Caenorhabditis elegans: one gene and its partner. The protein of the gene in region 2 purifies or fractionates together with the protein of the main gene of each other region. This does not show direct contact. Each region holds a gene or a part of one and is shown on either strand. Other genes may lie near its edges.

Region 1 (8,320 bases), on a different chromosome or scaffold from region 2:
TAGGCTGTGGAAAGTCAGGACATAAAAAGCCTGACTGTCGACAACCGCTATCAAATATATAAGAATGTGAAAGCCGGAATTGTAACAATGTTCAGCAACGTTTCATGTCCGCTTGGTGAGATGGTCCACAATCCTACTGGCGTACAATTTCAAGATCGAATACGTCAGGACTGATGACTTTGGACAAGCAGACGCGAAGTCAAGGATGATCCAGAAGTCGCCGACTGAGGAGGAGGATATTGTCATCGCTCAGGTGGAATTGGACGTTGAGGAGACGCTGCATTCAGCAATTAGGAAACTTCCAATTCGTGTGACGGATATTCAGGAGGAGACTCGCAAGGATAGCGTTCTCCAAGAAATTCTCAAAGGATTATCAACAGGATGTTGGTCGAAGGAAGGTAGCGAGGAGTAGCTTCAACTGTTCATGAACACGCTGCAATCATTGAAAGGAATGGTTTTTCTCTCTTGGTACCGCTTGTCGTGTTATGTTAAGCTAAATGTTACTTAATTCTAGTGTTTTAATGAGTTTTGCTTTCCAACTTGACATTCTATATTTTTTAACTTCATTATATTAATAAGTGTATTTCAATAAATTCTCTCGTCATTATCGCATTATGATACGGTGATACGTTCTAGGGAATTAAGAAGAGTGCTCAAGTGAGCCATCTTGATAGTAGGAAGGGAACGAGAGGGGGGGGGGGGGGGGGCTCAATACATCTGCATAAGTGATTTCTAGTTGTGTAAAAATTATTTGAAATGAAGAAACCATGCAAGCGCTGCTAAAAACCACACCAGAACCACGTGTTTTTGCATATATAAACTCGCGTGTATGTTTATATATCGTGCGCGAAGGATGGTGTAGTGGATAGAGGCCTCCAACACTGCGAGAACGACGACGGTTCGAGTTCGGCAACTAGTGAAAATGGGCGGAGCAATGGGGTACCCCGTGGATCATGATGGTGAGACTGTCCAGGTATTCGGTAGGGTAAGGAAGGGTTCTAGGGAAAAGGTGAACATGGGGGAATACCCTTTTCCATTTTTCTTCGAAAACCCAAAACCACGCCAGCGCTGACGTAAACCATGCCAGTAATGACGAAAACCACATCATCACTCGAGAAAACCACTATGTTCTACTGCCCGATCTCGAGTGGTTTTTCACCAGGGCTGGTGTGGTTTTTGTCGGGTACTGGTGTGGTTCCAAATCACTGAGTGTGTGCAATTTTGTGTATGGATGCATTATAATATTTTCGTTTTTAGCTGCGGTACAACGATTCGTGATTCTGTACATTTCAAAGTACAAATGGCTAGTGACGGGGTTAGTTTGTTGATAACGTCGCTACAGCAGGCGATGTCAGAAAGTTCACTAAGTTTTCAATGGCATTTAATACATTAACATTTCATTAAACAGCTGCATTTACGCATTCACACTTGATGTTTGTGCTACTGTAAAATTCCTCTGTAAAACTTTGAAATTTTGTTTTTCAAAGTTTGATGTTTTATAACACATGTTCATCGATACTTGTTCGTTCCACACGTTTACACCAAGGGTGTGCGGCAAATCTCAAAATTTGCCGAGCTCGGCAAATTCGGCAAATCTATTTTTCCAATATTTGCCGAGCACGGCAAATTCGGCAAATTTGCCGTGCTTAACAAACTCGGAAAAATTTGATGTTTTTTGGAGCACCAAAACTACTGAATTCTTAACAAATATCTGGTTTCTAAATAAGCTCCGTGTAGTGTGTCTACTGAAACATCAAAATAACTCAATTTTGTGTCACTTTACTAAATTTTTGGCGAAAAAATCAATAGCTTTGGTCAAAATTGCACTGTCAAATTTTTGACGTGTGCGGAAAATTTCAAAATTTGCCGTGCTCGGTAAATTCGGCAAATTTTCCGAGTTCGGCAAACGGCAAATTCGGCAAATTCGGAAAATTTGCCGCACACCCCTGGTTTACACGTGACAGATTTAAAATGAACCCCTAATAAAGTCTGAATACTGTAGGTCCAACCTGTCAAAGCTCATAACCTTTGCCTATGTACTCAGTATTTTCTATTGCTGGGTTTATGGTACGTTTACTTACTTTTTTCCAAATAAAAGCAATTAAACTTTGTATTCAGGTTCTTTGCTTGGAGCGAATTCTTCTCCGACATGGGAAGATATCGCTTTCGTAGTGTACAATTTCATATTTTTTATAATGACCCTAACTTCTGGATTATTTTATTACCATCTTTACCAACTTTTGAAAAAGCTACATTCAGATGTGATTCCAGAAACTCAAATATTATACCGCGTTGTTCCTATTTATAGTCTACAAGTGGTAGAGTCAAAGTTATAACTACAATTTGTTTTTTTTTAACTTTCAGGTCTTCACTTTGATAGCTCTAATGCAATGTATACTTGGCTACTATGAATATAAGGAGATCAAAAATGTTCTCTCTGCAGTTTCAATGTTTCTACCTCATTTCACCCCAATTATCATTTCATTATCCTACACAGCGTCCATGCAGCCAATACGATCAGTGGCTATTTCAATAGTTTATCCAATTTTCAAAGAGTCTTCAGTGTGATGCTGTAAAATTTGTAAATTTTTTAAAATCAAATCAGCGACTCTTTATTTATCGCGAAATTCCCTTGATTTTTGGTTACTTGATGCATTTGTATAGAAATCAGGTTAATGCTCGACCAATTTATTTAACATTTTTAGAACTCATTTACAAAGTTTCATCATTTCATTTGGATCAGTTCCACACGATGTCCCACTTGGGCAGTTAGAGCATGGCTCTCCTTTGTCGAACAGTTGCTCATCAATATTCTCCAAACTGAAATTAAAACTTTACAAACGCAATTTCAGGTTGAAAACTCACGGAGGACTATACTTGCAGATAACAAGACGAGTGTTATAGTTGATCCCCTTTGAATCAATCTTGTCACAACTTTCGTAGATACATCCAATTGACTTAGATTTAGAGTAAAGCATTTGTCTAAGACGATTCTTTGTAGCTTTCTCTTCGGATTTCAGCGCATTGTGTGTATCCTTATTAATACTTCCCATTGCTCCAACGCCCTGAATCCCGACAATTTAAACGTTTTTTTTTGTTATGGAAACTCACATCAATATCGTCATAAGTATTGACATCGTATTGGTAGATGTTATCTCCAAGTTTGATAGGTAGGTTTTTGTTATCAGCAGGTTCACAGTAGTATTTTTCATTCTCGACTTCAGCAACCAATGACTCATTCCAGGACTAAAAATATATAATGAAATTAATTTAAAATTGAAAAAAACTTACCAGAAGTTGCATGTTTGACGATTTGGAGATGCTGTAGCGTTCCCAAAGTCCATGCGAAGCAGCGTTTCTTAGCTTGTTATGAATGAAAACAATATTATCGATTGCTTCTGCGTTCCATTGATGTTGTGGATTGAAGTGACGTTCAGCATGGGCAGCTGCAGTAAGAGCCAGGAGGAGAATGATAAGCTTCATCGTAAGCAGTGATACTTTTCAAAACAAATCAGATCTCTTTTATACTTTTGCTATAGACAGCGAAGTGCAAACCAACAAAAGGAAACCTCAAATATTATAGTCTGCAAACCGTGTGTTTTGATTCTTATGGAGATAATTTCCAAGTTTCCATGCATAGTTCCTACATTCTTGTTTCAATGATGTTTACATAGCTGCTCCCACACACTCAAATCTGTTTTTTTGATGAGACCTTTTATGTGCCCTGAAATCAAAAAATCAAAAACTGTCTGGTCAGATTTGGAAATATCTAGGAAAAACTAACAAAATCGAATAAGAAAAATCGATTTTTTTTCCAAAAGTGAGACAATTGCGGCTTCAAGGTATTTAAAAAAAATTATCCAACTCAGAGTAATGACTTTAAAACGAAAATTCCATAAAACCACGTCATTTAGAAGAAGCCAACACCGTTTGAAAAAAATGGCAAACGACTTTTTCCGGCAAATCGGCGAATTGTCGGAACTGAAAACTTCTGGCAAGTTGGCAACCGGCAAATTGCCGATTTGCCGGAAGAACGGCAATCACCGAAAATTTTTTGGCAAACTGTGGTTTTGCACTTTTTTTGGATATTTCAGAATAACAGGAAAAAATTCCAAAAAGGCACAGTTTTAAGTGTATCCGTCTTATAAAAAATCCCTCTAAAAACTTTAGAGATGCAGATGTTTGGCAAACTGCAAATCGACAACGTGCTGAAAATCAACATTTCCGGCAAATCGGCAAATCGGAAAATTGCCGGAAATGAAAATTTCCTGCTTATCGGCAAACCGGCCTTTTGTGCCGATTTTTCGACAAAAAAATTTGCCAAACGGCAATTGCCCAAACACGTATTTAGTCAAATTGACAAAAAATACGTTGTATCATTTTTGTAGCTCAAAAAGTGGATGATTTTTTTCAATACACGTGCAAAATTTGCTCATATTTAAATGTGTACTAAGTTTTTTGCAAAAAATTTATTAAATTAGTTTTTTTTTTGGATTAAAATATTTCGATGCAATTAATAACGTTGTTTTATGTATATATTTCTGAACGACTCTTTACAAAAGATAACAGAGCCTATAAAAAAACTTGTCAGGAAAGAGAATTTTTGAATGATCAAAAAGATCAGTGTACTAAAGTAGACCTTCTTGAATTTTTTTGCTTTTTTTCAGCCCCTAATAAAATCACCTGCAGTAGTTTGTTCGCAAAAATTTATTAATTTTCCATTAACGTCTAAACTATGTCGACGGCATTGGAGCAGTATTATGCGACAAATTACACAAAATGTAATATATCCTATAACATTCTTGCTACGTGGCAAGCAGTTGCCTATCCAATACACATTATTCAATTTATCTCATTGCCTTTTCAAATCCTAGCGTTCTACATTATTGTCACGAAGACCCCGCCAAGAATGAAACCAATGCAATTACCACTATTTCTAAACCACTTATTTTGTGCTTTGTTCGATATTTGTATGTGCTCACTTTCTACTTTATACTTTTTCCAGCCGATAATGGCGTTTGCGAGTGTTGGTGTGCTCAACTGGTTGGGCGTACCATTCGTTTATCAGGCAGTGCTAGGAGGATCAATGCTTGCTGGTAAGTGTTTTCCTAACAATTCCCGAGTGCGCATTTACCACCATATTTGGCGCATCTTCTTACGGTAGTTACTGAAAGTTACTGAAGAGCTTAGCCTTTTCTAGTAAAATTTCGTCATTGCAGGTGTTGCCGGTTCATACGTCTTCCTATTCGAAAGCCGTAGCAGTTCTTTACCCGAAAATCGATTCCGAATTTATCGCAAAACATCTCGTTTCGCCTATTTCACATATTTTCTCATTCCGTTCATAGCGGCTTACGTAGGCATGCTAATGATTGCCGAGGAATCAGATGCTGGAAAATTACGGGCTCTAGCTATTTACCCTTGCCCTACACGAGAGTTTTTCATATTCCCTGTTTGTGTATTCGAGGGCACGACGAGCCACATTTTTCTCGTTTATGCCTTGGTTATGTCACATACATCTGGAAACATTATATTTCATGTCGCATGTCTCGTATACTACCTTTATATTGCGCCACCACGCACACTATCTCAAAATACTCGAAGAGATCAGAAAATATTCTTAGTCTGCGTGACGGCACAGACTTCGGTACCACTTTTGGTTATAATCGCTCCGGCCATGATCGTTTTGTTAGCATCGTGGGCTGGATATTATCGTCAAGAATGGATGAGTTTGGCTGCAATTTGTGTTGCAACTCACGGGCTCGCCGAGAGCATTGCGATCATGATGGTGCACAAACCCTATCGAGCAGCGATTAGGAAAATGCTCCGAAAAGAAAATACAATCGTTATGCACAGAAGTGTAGAATTATAATGTTGAAATAATAATTTGTAGATCAAGCTCTATTATAATAGTATTTTCCTAAATAAAATTTAATATCTTAAAGTTTAACGATTTATTAAAAATGATGTTTTATCAATTAAAGACTAAAAAGACCAGGTGCTAAGACTTACAAATATAACTTTCAAAAACCAGAAAAATTGGTTGATAGTTTTGAGAATTTTGCAACGAAAAATGGAAAAAAAAAGTGGCGGGAAGCGAATGAATTTGGATTTCGACTGATTTCACGAGGAGAGACAGGTTTATTTTAACGTATTGTCCAAATAAATAATTTTTTAGGCTTAAGATTTTTATTTTATTATTATTAAGATTTTTATTATGTTTATACTTAGGCCTTGGCTCAGGCTTAGGCTTTGAATTTCGCTTAGGCATAGGCTTAGGCAGTTAATTTCAGGCTTAGGCTTAAACAGTTAATCAAACAGTTGGTTAAATGAAAAACTAAACAATTAAAAAAAATCAAATTTCCGCTTGCAAAAACGCTTGCAAAAATGATATTATAAACCTTGAGCATTGCCTACACTTTTCAGTAAGCTCTCTATTCTCTTTACTCTTTCTGTGAATAATCACTCGTGATGGTTGTTCGGAATTAGAATAACTTTTTCCGAAAGAAAACTGCGACGGTTGTTAACTTTGAAGACTCATTCTGAAAACAAATTCACACAAACGCAGTAATTATTAATCGATGTGACATAGTTGTTTTAGCTATCGATATGTTCATTGTAAAAACAGTTTTCCAAAGAAGCCAGGCACCTCATGAACTGGTCATCAAGAACTCAGACGTTTCGGTGAATTGATATTACTGAAAGTCATCTTGCAGTGAAGGAGAAAAATAAGAATCTGACACATTTGTTATTAATATTTGAGAACATGCTTTCATTCACTCGAATGTGAGAACAATGTTCTCGGAAAACTTCCTTCCATTCGCTTGAAGGAGTAATGTAATTGGCTGTTCATAATACAGGGTGGTCCATAATTATGGTGACCACTTCTTGCGCCTATAAAATTTGATAGAACTTTCTAAACATAGTTAAACCACACAGGTTTTATTCACAATTTTCTAGCAAACAAAAAATGATATTAAACTTTGAAAATATCTGCTTGTGCGACTGAGCAGAACCCCTGAAACAAAGAAAAAAATTTGTCGTTGGCACGCTACTTGCCTATATTTTGCTTTCTCAGGTCCTTTCTAGCTTCTCCTGCAGATAAGAGATGTTTTATGACACATTTCAAGATGTTTTAAATCGGAGAATTCGTTTTATAGTACATTTTATATAGTTGCAAATCTCACGCCTCTGTAGTGGACGGTTAAAGTAAGTTAAAGTATGAACGTTGAAATGTCAGACGTTCGACTCGTCATGGCACTCATGAGAAAAACATTTGTTTTGAATATAATTTGACCCTATTCTACTAATATTTTTCTCAATTACTGTAAAAAATTGTGACATTATCGTACCAGGTAACAGAGATATGGCCAAATCTGTGTTCATTTTTCAGATTTTTTAAAAATATAGTGAAAAAAGGGCTGTGGATAATTCCAAACATTCATTTGGCAGAAGCTGGAAATGAATGTAACACACACCGCAGCTGTTGAATCTTAAAGAAATATATTTTTTCTTCTAAAATAGTAGACTAACTGTGAAATGAACCCGTTTCAAAACTCCCACGATCAAAAATTTGCTGCGTGCCAAAAGGTCGTCTGCATGAAAAGATGCGTTACTTTGACGGCGCTACTACAACTCCGTTGTTTGACAAATGAAAAAGTTTTTTATGTTAAATAGGAGGAAAATATTTTTTCTATTGCTTCAATACAAGAATGTTGAATTTTAACGTTTAAGTTGCGTAAAAACAAGCCGCGACTGAGCGCGACACTGGTCACCATAATTATGGACCACCCTGTATAATAGTATGTTATGTGGTTTTTTTTTCTCTTTTTCTCCATGGGAGTAACAAACAAAAGCCAGAAATGAACGAGACAGAGGAAAGAAAAATTTTCTCTTGTGTTTCCCAGAACAAATTTTAATTTTTTTTCGCTGTTTTCACGATATATTTCGTTGTTCTACAACTCGGAGAACGCCTTTCCGATTTTTCTTTCTCAAACTTCATTTAAGACATTTCGGCCCATTTTTAAATGCCAAAATTTTTAAGGTGCAATTTTCCAGATTATGTCCACTTCCTCATATTTTGCTTCACCAGAATTTTTGGCCCTGGCAACCCATCTTGTCACTTGCTTCGAAATCCCAACATTCATCTATGGAGCCTATTGTATTCAGTTCAAGACACCGGAAAAGATGAAATCAGTGAAATGGCTCATGTGAAACATTCACTTTTGGAGCACCGTATCTGATCTCACAATTTGCTTAATAGGTGTGCCATATCTACACTTGCCATGTATTGCTGTGCATGTGCTCGGGTTTTTCGATGCTC
Region 2 (8,113 bases):
TCCTCCGCACTGTTGGTTACAAGCTGGCTGACATTGTTGGATGCATTGGGATGTTTGGCATGAGCTCTGGCACTGTTGCAGACAAACTGGGATGCATTGCACGTTGTTGTTGTTTCCGCAGCATGAGTTGGAGTTGGATGAACAGCACTGTCTCTTGGCACGCGACAACGCCAATCCGGTCTCGTTCTGCAGTTATTTAGGGCTCTTTTGTTTGACCGTAAGGAAAGACAGTGTGCTTAGATTTTTGCGCGCACACTCTGGGGGGCAATCGCGGAGAGAATCTTCATGCGCCCTTTGTTTACACTATCATTTTTCCTGTTTTTATCGGAGGGGAAAGAGCAGGAGAAGAAGCCAGCTGACCCCTTGAAATGACCACTTCACTTTGTATTAGTGAGGTCTCAAGGAATGGCCAATGACGGGAATAAATGAAATAAGAGTCTAGACAGTCATAAGGAAGCATCATAGTTAAAATTGAAAAGTTATTTAAACAAATGATTGCTGAAATTTGGATCCTGATGTACTAGACGCTATGCTTCAATTGGGCATGATCAATAAGATCATGATCATAACCAGCTTGTTCCTAAAGCCTATTCATTATTCCTATTCATGCACATTGTGCATTCAATACCCACATCCGCGCCGTGTCCTAATGGTTAGGTACACAGAAAACACGAAAATAATAGTGAGCATAAAAGAGGGAAAGTATGACTGAATGCTTAAATAAATGTTCAAAAGTACAAAAGTAGTATTTAAAAAAGAAATTTACCTTGACAGTCTCTTCGTCAGCGAAGACGAAGGTACTGGAGAGGGCCAGAACGGCGATAAGAAGAATCGAAGCTGCTCTGCGGGCTGCCATTGAAACAAAAATGTGGGGAATAATGAGTTGGGTAAAAGAAGGAGAAGGACTAGAACTCGAAGGCTCTGTATTCTGTCCAGATGGCACTGCGTACCTTTTATATAGCGGCGGGAGATGGGTGGGGGTAATGGGGAGGAAGGCGCCGGCGGTCGGTCGGTCGCGGCACACTTCGACTCCGCCCCGCGCGGAGCCAGGAGTGCTTAAGCGTTCGAAACAACTCCTTGAATCGGAGGATTGAGGGAGAGTCCAGTACCCTCAAGAGATCTCATCTTTTTGCCTGGAGATAGTGATTGAGACAATGAGGACTAGACGAAAAACATTTCATAATTCATACTCGGAAACCGGAGGTCCTCAAAGCCTTGAAGGGTACTGTAGTTTTGAAATAACCTGTATGACTTGAAGCTTGTATACTTTAGAACTATTCACCAAATGAGTGGATTATTTGTTCAGCTTTGGTAAATTATATAGCTACCAGTAAATTTTCGGAGTAAACCAAAGAATATGATAACGCAACTTGGTAGTTTTTTGAAGCGCATGCTGAAATAAAAATGGTCACACAGCGAAAAATAATTTAATTATCTTTCTTGATTTGTGATTTTAAAAGTTTTTACCACGACTGCTCTAATTTGACGACTCATATCTCGACTGTCATGAGTTATATCAAAAAATGTTCTACTATTGATATATAGATAAACATTTTACACGCATTTGGTTTGTTGACAATTTTTTGATAAAACCAAAGAGAACCGAGATATAAGCTTTCAATGTAAAGCAAAGACAATTCAAAAAACGCTGCTAAAATTGTTTATTTTTCAAAATCTTTCAGTACCTGGAAATATTAAAATCGGTACAATACTTGGATTTTTTAACGTTTTAGATGCACATAATTTATTATGTGTGTGACTTCCTTTTTCAATTTTTCTAAATAAAATTCCATGACCAATGCTTCTAGTTTCCAAATGTTCCGGACACTCTTAGCTTAGATATCAAAAATCTCTGCTTATCACTAAATACAGTATGCTCTCAATGCTCATTTGCTCTCTTCTTCTACCCGCATACTTTTTCATTCTCCTTATGCCCTTTGTAGGAATGTCGTCCCTGCTGACCCCCTCTCGCGAGCAATCATCATCCATAAATAGCAGCAACCGCACTGATTATCTTGTTTAGTTCAAGTTGCGCAATTTTTCGCTTCAAGTATTTCGAACATCTATAAAAAGATGCTCGGAGAAGACTGCTTACATAAAAACACATGTTTGTCGCTTTTCGTATCTCCAAATCTAGCCTGTTCTTTATCTCTTGATCTCCCCTACTTCACAGTGAATAAAAACATTTTTCATTCACATTCTTCATGAACCTGATGAAAAGTTGGTCAACTAAAACTCACACAATTGAAGTATTTGCTTACTTTTCGTATTGAATTTAATGGTCACTTTACCAATGCAATGCAGCTGGTTGCCATGTGAATTCAATTGTGACGTGGAACACGTGGAAAACAACTAGAAACTCCGAGAGGACCGGATTTCTGGGTCAGACATTGATGAGTCATACGGAATCACATCATTTGACAGTTTTAACCGTCTGGAGGCTCCCGGTTGGCAAATAGAAATTTCAATTGAACGCATTTCGTTGTGAGCAGCAATGTATGTAGTTTCTTGTTTTTGACGAGAGCTTATCACGTACAAATTCAGACTACGGTAAAATATTTTCGAAGAGGTACGCATCAATTGTATGTTACACAATCTAGTACCAATTTTTCCTGTTTATGTTTCAGGGCTCGTCGAAGTTGTCAGTAGTAGTAGATATACTTGAACCAATTATGATATCAACTTCCCTACTCATAAATCATGTCAATTTGATATTATTATGTGTACTATAGCTCCCTGCAATATACCTCGGTATTTGCCGGTTAATTTCTGCCTAATTTCGAATAAAAACAATGTACAACTTCTCTTCTAGTTGCACCTTTACAGAAATTCTCAAATGATTCATCCCGTCATTTGTCGGTAAGTCTCTGAACATAAGTTCAATGAATCAAGGTAAGTCAACATGAGTCGTTTCTTCTGTCTTTACTGCGCAGAGCATCGTAAACTGATCACCGAAACAGTTTCCAACTGTATGACTTCTCTTTTTGAGCTAGAGATTTTCCGGTTTAGCTTAATTGAATGGAACATTGTTTGATATTGCAATTGTGCCTATTTATGTTCTTTGACAATTTTTGATAGACATCAAAATTTCAACTTTTAATATATGTTTTGAAAATAGAGATTTTCTGTGAATGTGAAATTTCTCAGGAAAATAGCATTAAATTTTTTTTTTACAATTGCTACTGAACATTTGGAACGGAGTAATTTTTGAACCAAAAATCAAAAAGTGTTGTTTCTATAGCCAGTTTTGGAGCCAGTTTTCCTGTTGTAATTTCCTCTCAAACGATGTTTGGTGTATGTTTCAACGTGTTCTAATCCACGTGTACTTTTCCATGCGCGACCTACATTCAAACAATGATTGCTTTTAAAAAACCGGATCGGTGCAAAAAATGCGTAATACGTTGACACGGTGGGAGGAGGTGCACCCAACATTATAATACTTTTCTTGGAGAAAAGAGAAAGAGAGAGAGAGAGAAGGAAATGGGTGAAATGAGCACATGTTTGTCTGTATATTGTCTTCTCAGGAAACATTTGTGCAAGGAATTGCAAGTGAGAGACCCTAAACACCCGGAATTTTCGAAGCCGACCTTATTTGCCTCGTTTTGAGATGAACACAGTTTTCACGGATATTTGACTCCTATCAGTGACGGGAGTATTGCGGGGGATGCCTTGTCTTGGATGAACAACATTTTGAACTTTAACAATTATTTTTTTTTCAAACTGCTGTCCGAATACAAATTAAAAAAAGTGTACTATTTCAGAAAATAATCCTTACCTTCAAAAGTTCTATTAGTTCTGAAATACTGAGAACAAGACTCGATGAAATAAACTTACGACATAAGTATTTCTCATTTAAGAATAAAAAGTGACCACACGCCTACATCGCCTACACCTACATCGCCTATAAAATTTATTGCTTACCTAATTATTGTGGTCCGTATAATATATTTTTACGACAGCCTATGTAGGCCTATGTAGGTATCCACGTTTGAACCTTTATCAAAGCAGTATAATCAACTTTTCGGCATGATCTTACAATCATAATAATTTTTCCTGAATTTCGGGTCTCGCAATATGTAGATATTGATGGTTTATGTTTCTGATTCTAGCAATAACAGTCTACAAGACACCACAATATTTGCGTCGAAACTATAGACAGTTCAACGATCGAGATCCAAACTATGCTAACATCGGATTCCACACCTTTGTTTTATGATTGTTCAACTATTCTTCAACATCTTGAAACTCGAATACTTCCGGATTGTTCCTTTTATTTGATTGGGGAGTGCATCGGCACCGGATTGATATGAGAAGATAACACCCACCCCGATGGAATTTGTGTGATGATTGCCAAGAATGATTACCGAGCTCGTCGTCGAGCCTTAAAAAATAATCTGCCGGAAATGATAATCTGTCGATGCTCTTTGCGAGATGCCATATCATATCGTCCCATGTGTACTCACATTCTCTAATCTTCTCCATCAAGGTCTCACTGGGGGAGGCTCTCAGGCACACTGAACCGGTCAATTTGGTTGTGTTGCCGATGGAAGAGAATCTGATGGTCAGAGTCTGTTTGCGCTCTCTTTTTTTGCATTTCTCTGCGCACTGAGTCGTTGTAAAATGTTTGATGGAAAAAAGAAAAGACAAAGGAATTTGAAAGTTGAGGAAAAAAATTATAAGAAGAGCAAGAGGTAAAAGGGCATAACAGGGATTGACCTGGTTTTTACAAGTTGCACTAAATCTAGAACAACCAACTTGGAAACTTGTCAACGGCTAAAAATTTCAATAGAACTTTAGCAAAAATCGACTAATCGAGCAATGCAATTCTATCGGTGACTGAACTGAGATTATTTTTGAAAAACTAAATTAAAAATCGCATTACAAATTCTAAGAGAATTAAAAAACGAAGCTCTTTAATTTCCAAAAACATTTCAGTTTCGCTTCGAACAGTTATGCATTTTCTAAATCCTTCAGTATGCTTTCCTGGTTTCAAAATAACGATATTTTCACAGAAAATTCTTTGTCTGCAAAGTTATTCATAAAATGACGTTTTATGTACCTGCCTCGTATCAAATTGGTTTTTTGGCCTCAACCATGTGTCTTATTCTCTCAATTTCCGTACACTTTCACCCAGTTCACTATCAATTGTCATCATGTAGAAAACAAATAAATACTCTCTACTGATGTTCTCCAATATGATTATCAGTTTTCTATTGATTGTTTTATTGTATTAACAACCATGGTTCACTATAAGCTTACATATTTCTTGTCTCGTGGACTTGGAGACGTTTCTCGTCAGCTGTTCCATTTGGCAGACGTAGATTTCGAAGACGAGAGGCTTGAAAAGCCTCACTTTTTGGAGAAGAAAGAGACATATCCATTCAAACAAGTCCCAGTGCTCTCTGTTGATGGATTTCAAATTCCCCAATCTATGGCAATTGCTAGGTACTTGGCAAAGAAGTTTGGTATGTAAAGTTTCTATACACTTTAATAAAACAAGCTTATTCCGTAAATTATTTATTTCAGGATTCGCAGGAAAAACAGCTGAAGAGTCAGCAATGGTGGATGCATTTGTCGACCAATTCAAAGACTTTTACTCCGAAATTCGTGACTATTACTACACCATGTTAGGTCTTGGATTGACTGATCTGGACGGTGATGAACAGAAGGATAAGGTCCTGATTCCGGCAAGAGACAAATTTCTGCCACTTCTTACCAGATATCTTGAGAAGAGCAAGTCAGGATTTTTAGTGGACGGAGGCCTTACTTTTGCTGATTTGATTATTCTTGATAACATGACGTCGCTTCTCAATTGGTGGCCAGAATATGCAAATGATTATCCAGTGGTTCGTTATTAAAATAAGTTTTATGAAGATGTATCTGTCAGTTTCAGATTCTTGCTTGGAGGGATAAGGTGATGAACTATCCGAGATTGAAAGAATACATTGAGAAGAGACCAGTCACTATGTACTAATTTTATAGAATTAAAGTTTAATTTTTCATAGATTTTTTAAAAAAAGTTCAAATAAACTATTATTTTAAAAAATGTTCAAATATTTACAATTTAAATTTCTGTTTTTACTTCGACTTTTTAAGAATTCCGTTTTCAAAAAAAAAACAATGATATCACTTAAAAATATATCTCCCGGTTGATAGAAATTTTAAAATAATCGGTCAGGAATTACATATTGGTTGTGAAGTTTTATTGAAAATTTGGAATTATGAACACTTAAACTTGTTCAGTTTTCTTCAAAGCTTCCTCTCGTTGCAATTACAAACAATTTATTTATCAAAAAATATTTTGCTAATTATTCGCATGATTATCGCAAACATACGATGAATCCCTCAGGTGCGAGAAAAGTGAAAAGATATATTTCTTTTCCGAAAAGAAAAGTCTTTTTGATTTAAAATGGAAAGTTGCACTTGTTGATTGATGCATTTTCCCTTCTTCATCGTCTTCTCCTGATCCTTAAGCCTTGTCTCAAAACGCTCCGCCCTCTTTCCCTCGTCCCGGTTTTCGTTTATCAGCTTAACACGAGCTAGTATCGACTAGCCGTCGTTGTACAGACGAATTAGGTCAGAAAATGGAATCTATTGTTCCTGAAAAGAAACGCATTTTGGACGGAATTCATTGGCGTCTAATCGTGTTTCATTTTCATGCTTTTTCTTTTGTTTTTGAGTTAGCTTTGTTTCAAACTAGAATTATTGTTTCAAGTGTTTATTGGATTTTTTGGTCTTGTAGCTAAAGTTCGGTCCGTTGTACTGCTGGTTGCCAATCAAAAAACTAAAAAAAAACATTTTCTCACCCGCTAATCGTTTCAACTCTTGTAAAGACATTCCTATTTTAATCCCACAATTGTTTTCTTATTAAAAACCTTTATTAAACGGATTTCCAAAAAATAAACAAAATTGGAATTTCAGGTGTTGCCTCTCAGAAATGAGGATTTATATTCTACTTGCGGTGTTCATCAGTTCTTGTCTTGCAGACACAAGTGGTTAGTCTACCATTTCTAGATTCATCTCTCGCAAAAAAGCTTGCAAAAAGCATTATTTTTTAGTTCTTCGTCCATGTTTCGAACGATATCCAAACCATCGGCTAGTCAATGTCAGACCATATCATAGTGAATGGAGAATGAAAACAGAGGATATGTGCTTGCTCTTCTGTGCACAATCTGCGGTAAAATATTATTTTTAAAACATTTTTGATATTTAAATGCTCGTTAGAGATTTCAAAACATTTTTTAATCGGAAGTTTATGGTAAATCCACAGAACAGTTGTTCTCATTTTATATTTTTTTGTTAAAAAAATAAATTCAACAGTCGGAAACTTACTGTAGCAGGTAGATAATAAATATTTGATTGAACTCCTAAAATCATTTTTTCTCTGGTATGGTTGATACTTTTCATGTTCTCAATAAGGAAAATGCCAATTTGTTAGAACGCTTTTTTAAAAATACGAAATTCAATTAACAGAAAATATAAAATAATTATGTTTCAGTCTCGATGCCGTTCAGTCGTATACGACACTGTTCAACACATCTGCCACTACTTCTCGGATGAAGGCGTCGATCAGGCAATCCTATCAGCCAAAATGACCTACCTTCGTGTCGTGTCTCAATCTTGTTTGCGTGAGTCTTTTTTGATTTATTTCGGACACATTTCTTCTTTTGTCTCTTTTTCTGGAGAAGAGGTATTCTGTTCGGAGATAACAGGGAAGAGAGGGAATCGAGATATTTTGTAATGATAATTGTGATAAAAGTGAAAATTTTGGAGTGGATAAGTTGGAGGATCGTGCAGATTGTGGTTTGATTTCATCGTTCAGAAGGTTCAAAAACATTTTTCAAGCATGTTACACAGTTTTTTGTAATCTTTCAAAACCTCGGACTATTAGTTGATTAAACTTCAAAGTTAGAATTCTAGAATAATTCAGAAAATAATTTAAAGGAAATTTAAAGAAAATTCCCTTTTTTAGCCCACTTAAAAAAAGAACGAAAGGTGACAAAGCGTTTTAGTTGCTGCGCTCGGCTGGTTACGATGCCAAGTAGTAATTTCATATTTTCAGAAGAAAGCTCCGAAATTGCCTCGGATCCGAAAACTTCACCACCAGATGCTC

The links. Proteins that work in one complex are often made in the same cells at the same time.
Region 1: the proteins of gst-13 (region 2) and srh-111 fractionate together in Caenorhabditis elegans (co-fractionation; one large-scale study listed by BioGRID). This does not show direct contact.

Annotation. Positions count from the first base shown.
Region 1 is NC_003283.11:17,481,594-17,489,913, reverse strand, and holds srh-111 (Serpentine Receptor, class T), read left to right. Parts: upstream 1-4,735; coding exon 4,736-5,096; intron 5,097-5,219; coding exon 5,220-5,869; downstream 5,870-8,320. Other genes in the region: scl-24 (SCP domain-containing protein), read right to left, coding at 2,709-2,820, 2,866-3,065, 3,112-3,246, 3,292-3,483.
Region 2 is NC_003280.10:9,226,302-9,234,414, forward strand, and holds gst-13 (glutathione transferase), read left to right. Parts: upstream 1-5,155; 5' UTR 5,156-5,239; coding exon 5,240-5,465; intron 5,466-5,526; coding exon 5,527-5,846; intron 5,847-5,893; coding exon 5,894-5,974; 3' UTR 5,975-6,043; downstream 6,044-8,113. Other genes in the region: abu-14 (Activated in Blocked Unfolded protein response), read right to left, coding at 1-186, 767-856; T26C5.2 (Apple domain-containing protein), read left to right, coding at 6,938-6,995, 7,059-7,177, 7,499-7,628, 8,063-8,113.